Danio rerio: one gene and its partner. The protein of the gene in region 1 interacts with the protein of each later gene in a pairwise test. Links are inferred from orthologs where the notes say so. Each region holds a gene or a part of one and is shown in the gene's direction. Other genes may lie near its edges. The genes, in order: numbl and spsb3a.

What was found.
Region 2: the proteins of numbl (region 1) and spsb3a interact in binary tests that used the Homo sapiens proteins (3 or more experiments, as listed by UniProt). The two-hybrid records come from large-scale screens. The link is inferred for Danio rerio from reciprocal best matches to the Homo sapiens genes NUMBL and SPSB3.

What each region holds. Positions count from the first base shown.
Region 1 is NC_133190.1:16,579,555-16,584,086, reverse strand, and holds the start of numbl (numb-like protein), read left to right. Parts: upstream 1-1,570; 5' UTR 1,571-1,767; intron 1,768-4,532. UniProt on the Homo sapiens protein: Plays a role in the process of neurogenesis. Required throughout embryonic neurogenesis to maintain neural progenitor cells, also called radial glial cells (RGCs), by allowing their daughter cells to choose progenitor over neuronal cell fate.
Region 2 is NC_133178.1:14,705,073-14,708,901, reverse strand, and holds part of spsb3a (SPRY domain-containing SOCS box protein 3a), read left to right. Parts: intron 1-1,557; 5' UTR 1,558-1,578; coding exon 1,579-1,704; intron 1,705-3,725; coding exon 3,726-3,829.

The sequences.
Region 1 (4,532 bases):
GAAAACAGCTATTTAAAAGTGTAATAATACCTCAAAATTGAATAGTTATTTGATGAAAATTTTATTGTATTTTTCTTCAAATAAATGCAGTCGCAGTAAGCAGAAATGGTATCTGTTAAAACATTGAATAAATCTTGCTGTTTCCAAACTTTTGACTGGTAGTGTACAAGTGAGGAGTTGAGTTGTTCAGTACTGCGCTGCTGTATCTATGTGCTTCGATAGTTTCTCTTCTTTCCACATTCTCATTCACTTCTAATTGAACATCTCGCTGAGCATATTTGTTTATACTGTAGGCTGTTAGTATCATTGCAAAAAAGCTTTTAAAATCTGGACATTGCAACTAATTGAAGACTCTAGCTCCAATTGAGTGGCTTGAAGAAGTCTGTGATGAAAGATGTGCTTCTTACAGTGGAATTAAATGTAACAAATTGAATTGTACCATAATTGCAATTTATCTTTCACTGATTTAGCAATAAAAGTGACTGTCATACTCCAACTAAAATCGAAGTAAGTAGCGATATTTGAATATGAAAATCATGATCATCCATACTTTAAAGCTGGACTTTGCAAACAGGCTAGGCATAAATAAAACACTTGTTTAAGAGATTTGTTTGATCAAATATTTGATCACAATTAAATATGTTTGGATTAATGAAATTGAAAAAGTTTGACTCATTTACTCTACTTACTAGTTATGATTCATATAGATAATCACACATTTGATTAAATACCAGATTAAAACAAACACGCAAGTTGATTTCCCATATTAAAATGACAGATTAGAAAAAAGAGGGCGAGGCAGTGGCGCAGTAGGTAGTGCTGTCGTCTCACAGAAAGAAGGTCGCTGGTTCGAAAATTGGCTCAGTTGGTGTTTCAGTAAGTTGGCAGTTTATTCTGCTGTGGCGACCCCGGATTAATAAAGAGACTAAGCCGACAAGAAAATGATTGAATGAACAGAAAAAAAACTTAAGATAAAATTGAACAAGATATAAGTAAATTAGTAAATAAATAGAAAATAATAATAATTGAATACTAATATATTAATGTAAGTAAAAGATTGCAAGATTAAGGTGATAAATCTGTGGTAATACACAGATATTCTGGGTATTTTCAGAAATATTTAAAATAAAAAATAAAAAACAGTATTTAATAATTGTTTTTATGTTATGTGGTTTTTGACCCTTCATACGATATTATGTTATGCACTGTATTTGTATTTAAATGCAACCTTTTTTTAACCAACATCTGTAAATTTTGAATAGGAATAGGCTGTTTATTATTAAAAAGAATCCTGAAAGCAGCAATTGAAGAAAAAAACCCCACTGTAAACGTTGAGAAAAGCGCTCAACCGTTTGGCCTCTAGATGACGGTGTTTTACTCCTACCGCCTGATCCATTGCATCCCATTCAGACTCTTGAACATCAGCGGGAAGAGGATAATTTGCATAAACGCCCGTCTGCGCCAATGAGCGGGCCGAGAGGGCGGGGCACGCGGGTGGAGCCGCGGGAGGAGCGCAGTCTATGCGCCAGTGGCTGCTGCTCACTGAATAACAAACGCAGAGATTATCCCCAAAAAATCCGTCCATTTCTTACGGCCGTTTTACTAAATTTACGACCGTCCGAAACGCCTTAGTCCACGTGCCTCCAACCGAGCGTCAGTTTCGCGAGGGATTCTCATGTAGATTCATCTGAAGTTATTTCCCCCCTCATATTTCTGTGGATTACACAAAAGGCGGCACGGACACTCATTGTAGTATTCTTCTATTCGGTAAGTGTCTGTGCTCTCATTTTACATGCATTATTTATAGTTTCGGGATATCACAACATGCGGCTCATGTGGCTCGAGATGGCATGATTCTGATTTCATATATCTATGCTGAAGTGTGCAGATGTGTGTTCAACAATAACAAATAATGCTGTTATTACTGTTAGGGTTTAGGATGAAAAATGTAATTAACCATTAATTAACCACTAGGGTCCGCGAAGACTTGCTGAACAAACAAGAATGTCAGTGCGACTACAGCCAGATGTTTCTGAACACATTAAACAGAACCTTATGTACATCAAAATAGCTCGATAGTGTAAAATTATGTAAGAGACTCGTAGTGTTTTAGAGAGTGATTATGTGTTTATTAGCGACGCTTTACATACGGGAGCCTCATTAATAATTAGATGACTGTTATTGATCCATAATGGTTGGGCCTTTCACTGAGGAGTTTGTCACTGAAATAGTATGAGCAAGACTGCAGTGTTTAGAGGCTTTACATGTGGGCTCTATTGACAATAAAAATGTTACAACCGGCGAATAATGTCCATTTCCATTCCACGAACGGTTGTTGTAGTGGAAAAATGAGTTTTAGAGTTTTAGACTGTTATTTACAGTAAAATATTGATTGTTTAAAGAACTGAAAGAAGACCCAATATTGAAATATTTTAAGAGTTTCTTTGGTCACACTTTACAATTTAACGTTACTTACGTGAACTAAGAACGAACAAAACATGCACGTGATTAATTAATTCTACATTTATTATGCATTATTACAATACAAAATTCTATTCATTATAGTTAATAATGTGCGAGCTAACGAGAACTAACAATGAATGACTTTATTTTCATTAACTAACTCTAACAAAGATGAATATATACTGTTATAGACGTGCTGTTTATTGTTTGTTCATGTTAGTAAACACATGAACTTACATTAAACTAATGCAACCTTATTGTAAAGTCTTAGCATCTTTTATGTAGGCTACTCAACTTAGTTGATGGAGTCATATCTAAATGTATTGTTATGGTGATGAAATAAACTTATGATTAGAATGTTAATTTTGACCATTTTAAATCTGAAAGTATTTGAAATCAAATGTGGATACATTCAGAAATTCAGTTTAAGTTTTATGCTAATTACTTTTTCGAAAGATGTTCAAAGAAAAAGATTTTTGGCGAATAGATTACTCTTTCAAATACGGAAATTGCTAGTAAGCTGTCACAAAAAATGGCTAATAACATCAAATAAAACATGAAATTTCGAAGTAGAAACAATTTTCAAGTCTTGTATGTTTTGCCTGATTACACTATACGACATTAGCAAATTATTCACTTGAAATGAGAGTTTCCTTTTTGAGTTTCTGTCTCCCGTTGAACTCAAAGAAGATATTTTTAAAGATTGCTGGTTGGTGATATCTACAGTAGAAAAAGAAATACTTGCACCAGCTGCTGAGTGCCTGGAGTTGTAACGTGTGCGTATGCTGCAGCGCATGTGTGTGTGTGGTCACGTGATGTGCGTTTTCAGTGGTATAGTGTTGACGGAAGGCTGTTCAGAAATGTTCAATGAAACGCAAGTGTGGACGTGGATTGTTTTTTATTTTAAAATGGCATTTTGAAACTAAGACGTATTAGTGTAAACAGGGACTAAGTGTGTATTTTTCACGAGCGGGTCGCTGCTGCTTGGCCAACTTGGTTGGTTAAAAAAGGTCAACAACCAACAGGAACTAACCAACAGAATCTGAGGTTTTTGCTAAAATTACTAAGTACCAGCGTGAAAGTGAAAGATTGAAGCAGTCTACTGACGCTGTGACACGTTAGCTGGTACATCCTTGATAAACTGTTCAACATGAACTGCTCTCTAGCGTGATTGCTGGAGCTCAGAGTCAGATGCGTGCATAGCCTTCACTGCAGCGCATTACAGTTTGTGGTCACGTGATGTGTGTTTTCAGCGGTATTGTGGAAGGAGGGCTTTTCAGACATGGTAGGTAATACGCCAGTGTGGACGTGAATTGTTTTCATTCTAAAATGCTATTTTAAACTATTGACAGTAGGGTTGGGCTGATAGACAATGTCATTGTTCATCGCCGATGGCCAACAGACACCTGTCACGCTTGTACTTATTAATTTTAGTGAAAACTTCAGATACTGTTGGTTGTTTCCTGTTGGTTGTGCACCTTTTTTACCAACCAAGTTTGTTGATGCCATTATAACAACACATCATTCGGCCTATTCACACCTATTCACGAGTTCTGAGGATAAAGTGATTGACAGGTGGTAATTATGTTTGTAACTTATCTTTATTAATTTATGATTTGGTTATGGGTAAAATAAAGACCATGCGGGTCAGCTAGTTAAAACGGTAGGCTACAAATAATTAATTTGTTATGAATTAATTAATTATTCATAATTAATTCACCGCCACCAATGACGAGGATGCCATCGTCCATCGTGATGTTTCATATTAGACATTGTACGATGCCAAATTGGTCGACATCGCCCAACCCTAATTGACAGCAGATCTCTCAATGAGAGAGAGAGAGAGGGATTGTTCAATCCACTTAAATTTGTTATGTTAACTTCATCAATTTGTGTTGGGACAACATGAAGCAATTGTGTGGGACTCAGTATTTATTTACAGTGTAATTCACCACCCCCCAAAAAACTGCAAGCGCCTCTTCAAGCAACTTTTCCGGGTTGCACTATTTAATCACCTGTCACACACCGTCTGAGAACCGTCTGTTCTGCTTGTCTGTGGCATAAGTCTG
Region 2 (3,829 bases), on another chromosome or scaffold:
TAGTTGTGTGTGTTTTATTAGACCGCACATTGGAATGTTATAACAGAACCCTAAAATGCACTTAGTCTGATTAAACAGCTCTGCTTCTTCTCTACTTGATCATAAAGATTAGAACAGGAAGCAGTGGACTGTGGCATAATAAAAGCTCTGCTGTTTTTTAGGCTGCGTAACACAATTTCTTCAGCGCTCTTGTTTCACTTTGACAGCTTTCAGCTAGGGGTGTCAAAATGAATTGTTTCTTTGATGCACCGCGACGCAGATGTGGACAATTCGGTATCTGTTCAGTAATAATCATAACCGGTTTTTATGTACTGATGTCATTTATCACATATGCGTTATACAGCGGTAGCTTACTATGGCGAGTGAGGAGGCCGCGAGTAATTAAAACACTACAACTACTTAGGAAGCAGATAACTGTGCACAATTCACTACTTGTGAGTTTGCTGGACAATCTTTCACTGACAGGGAAGTACATCAAAACTTTACTTTACTTCATTGTCCACTAGTGGAAATTCATCTTTGGCCTTACCACACAAACAGATCAACATTCACATTACACACATCACAGAAAGGAAAGCTAGGAAAAAAATGAACGGTGAAACTCTCTCTCATTCTCTGTGGCCCCTTTGACCTGTTAGCTTCGTGAGGTAACGTTTTATCTCCTCTCTCGGTTGTTACAACAATAGTGTTATCTGTAGATCCAGACATGAGGGTGTCTTTAGAGCGAGTTTTCTTCACCGCGTTAACGTCTATGATGGATCCGCTAATCGCTGTAGCTGTTTAACATCATCGTTTGCTGAACAGCACCAGAGCTGTGCTGACCATTAGAGCCAATCCCAGCCATTTCTGTTGAGTGCGTGATCAATCGCAGGCATTTAAGATCTCCCTCAACACCACTCAAATCGAAAGCGGGATAACATTTAGTTTTTTGTTTGCTGTAAATGCTCATGTTGTTCTGTGCTTGTACTTGAGTTTTGTTTGATACATTCAGAAAGAGTGTTTTATTTGAGCAGGTTCAATAAAACTGCAGTTCATATATTTGAATGCTTGTATTAGAGGACAAAATTGTATTACAAGTAATATCTAAATGTAAATATTTTTAAATTGTAAATTCTAATACAAGAATTATTGTGTTTTTAAAGTAAAATATCAAATTGTTTATGGAAACCATCGTCAAAGCACCATGATGAACTCGAGATATCGAATTAAACCAAATCAATAGCCTGATAATCATAACTGAACCGAACTGTGAGACCAGTGTATGTTCACACCCGTACTTTCAGCCTTACTCTACTTCATACTACCATGATAATTAGTGTTGAATACTTCTACTCCTCCATAAGCATGATGTCTGCAGGAGTCCTGTAGGATTCAACACTCAATCATGGCATCATTAAATTTACCTTGTTTGTTTTGATTATGCACCTTCTAGTGGAAAAAAGTCACATACTGTGTCTTTTAATGCTTTCACGTATATTTTTACTTTGATAATGCGTTTCATGTAGTGTGACTTATTCTTTTGCTATAGAACGAAGAGCTGTTGTGTCTGGTTGACAGGTGCGGAGGCTCCAGGTTGGCATGTCAAGGCGGAGCAGAAACAGCAGGGCGTGGAGGTACGTGTGGAGTGGAATAAGACGGGATGCAGATGCAAGAGCGCTGGTGCTTGCCTCCGAGAGTGACGAGTGGAGCTACGATCGACAGCAGGTGGGTGAAGATGATGTGCAGATGCCATCAAATAGAGCTGAAAATTTAATTGCACTTGCTATAACATTGCTGTTTTCAGTCACGTGGTGATTGACGAGCGAAATTCAGATGGAGGGCAGGAAGTTAAAAACTGAAAGGGAGACCTAGAGGAAAGCATTTAAACCATATTACAAAGGAGATGTAAATAGAAAATAAGCACATATGTTGGGCATGATCCGAATTTCATGAAGAGGCAGAGTTTTCTACTGAACTAAAATATATTTATCTGTCATTAGCCCCTTTCACACATACAGACCTTTCCGGAAAATTGCCGGCAATTTTCCGGAAAGGTTGTATGTGTGAACAGGTCCTTTTTGAAAATACCGGTAAATTCGTTCTGGCTATTTTCCGGAAAGAGAAGTTGTAACATTACCGGTAATTTGCCGTAATTTTATCCCCCTACTTGGATGGATCTTACTTATTATTGGAAAATGATTAAACTGGGTATTGATTCAGAATTACAAACTTTCTTTTTGATACTTGATTTGATTTAGTGAACTTCGATTGAACACAAATGATGTGTGAATGCAGAAGGAAGATTCCCATAATAAGCGCGTGCACGTCTAGAACGTGCTGACGTGAGACGTCTGCTTTAGCCAATCACAACAGTCAGACGCATTTACGTCCGCGCGGTTTGTGAGGATAAAAGCCTTTGAATATTTTTCCAGACACATTTAACTGCTAGAAGTTAGTCAGATCACGTTTATATGTTCTTCTTAATGACAACTGTGTAAATAATCATCGATGAGATGCTTATGATAAGCCGTTGTTTGTTTACCTTCAAGCTTTGCGTGTGCCTGTGAAACACGCACATATTATAAACATCTCGACATGCGAAAGTGATCCTGCGAAAGTTGTTCACAATACTGATCATCCACAGAGTTTGTAATTTAGTCAAATGTTTACAAATACAAGCGCAGCCGTTTAAAGCTCATTTGTGGTGAATGATGTCAGAATTTACCGGTATTTTGGAATGGATGTGTGAATGCTCTTTTCCGAAAAATTTCCATAACGTTCTCGCCTGTGTGAACAGCGCTTTTTTCAATATACCGGTAAAGTCTTTCCGGAAATTTTCCAGATATTTACCGGTATCACTGTGTGAAAGGGGCTATTGAGGCAGTAGATACTGTATAATTATGTTACATGAAAAATACCATAGTAAATGCCATAGTGTTTGGAAGCATACTATAGATAATTACTTGAATTAAACTGTTGTAGTAATTATATTGTTGCTGTGGTACGACACAACTGTAGTAATAAACTCAGTGTTTCCTCTAGGATTTTTCCAGCTGTGGTGGCAGGCCTTGATTTAGCTGACGAAATGGATAAACTGTAACTAATAAAATTAAACTAATATAAAGGTAGAGTAATTATGTTTGTTTTTATTTTGTGTAGCCAGGTATTATCTATCATTGAAAGATGATAATTAATTACATGCGCTAATATTTTGTGTCAGTTCAAATGTCTTGTAAATACCCCCAGTAACGCTCCAGGGTTTTTCCAGTAAGTGCCCTATGACCAGGGCCAGTCGGGATCTGCGGACGTTTTTTGCTATTTCTGCGGAGAATTTTGGTAAAAATCTGCGAATTTCTGCGGAATTATTTTTAACCTTAATATATTAAATAAAAAGTAATAAATTACTGAATAAATTCAGATTTACACCTTTACTTAAGCAAATAAGAATTAATAATGGGCTAGAAATCTGCGGAATTCTGCAGAAAATCTCCGGAATTTTGCGCACGCAGATTCCGTGTGGGCCTACCTTTGACAAAGGCAAAACATTATTCTATAGTATATCTTTTAAACCTTCAATTAAATTAATTAATTGATTAATGAAGTAATTTAAAAATGATATGTGTATGTGTGTTAATAATACAATGCAGTATAAAAAATAATGATGCATATTTATTACATTAAATTTTAGTTAATTTTAGCTCACAGTGCATTAAATAATATTAACAAGCACACCTTTTGTCCTGCAGTACAGTGACTCTGATTCTGAAGCCGAGTATCCTGCCATTGTTCCGGCGGTCCCCAGTGCGGTGCCGGTGACTGGAGAGTCCTACTGCAGCTGTGATTCACAGAT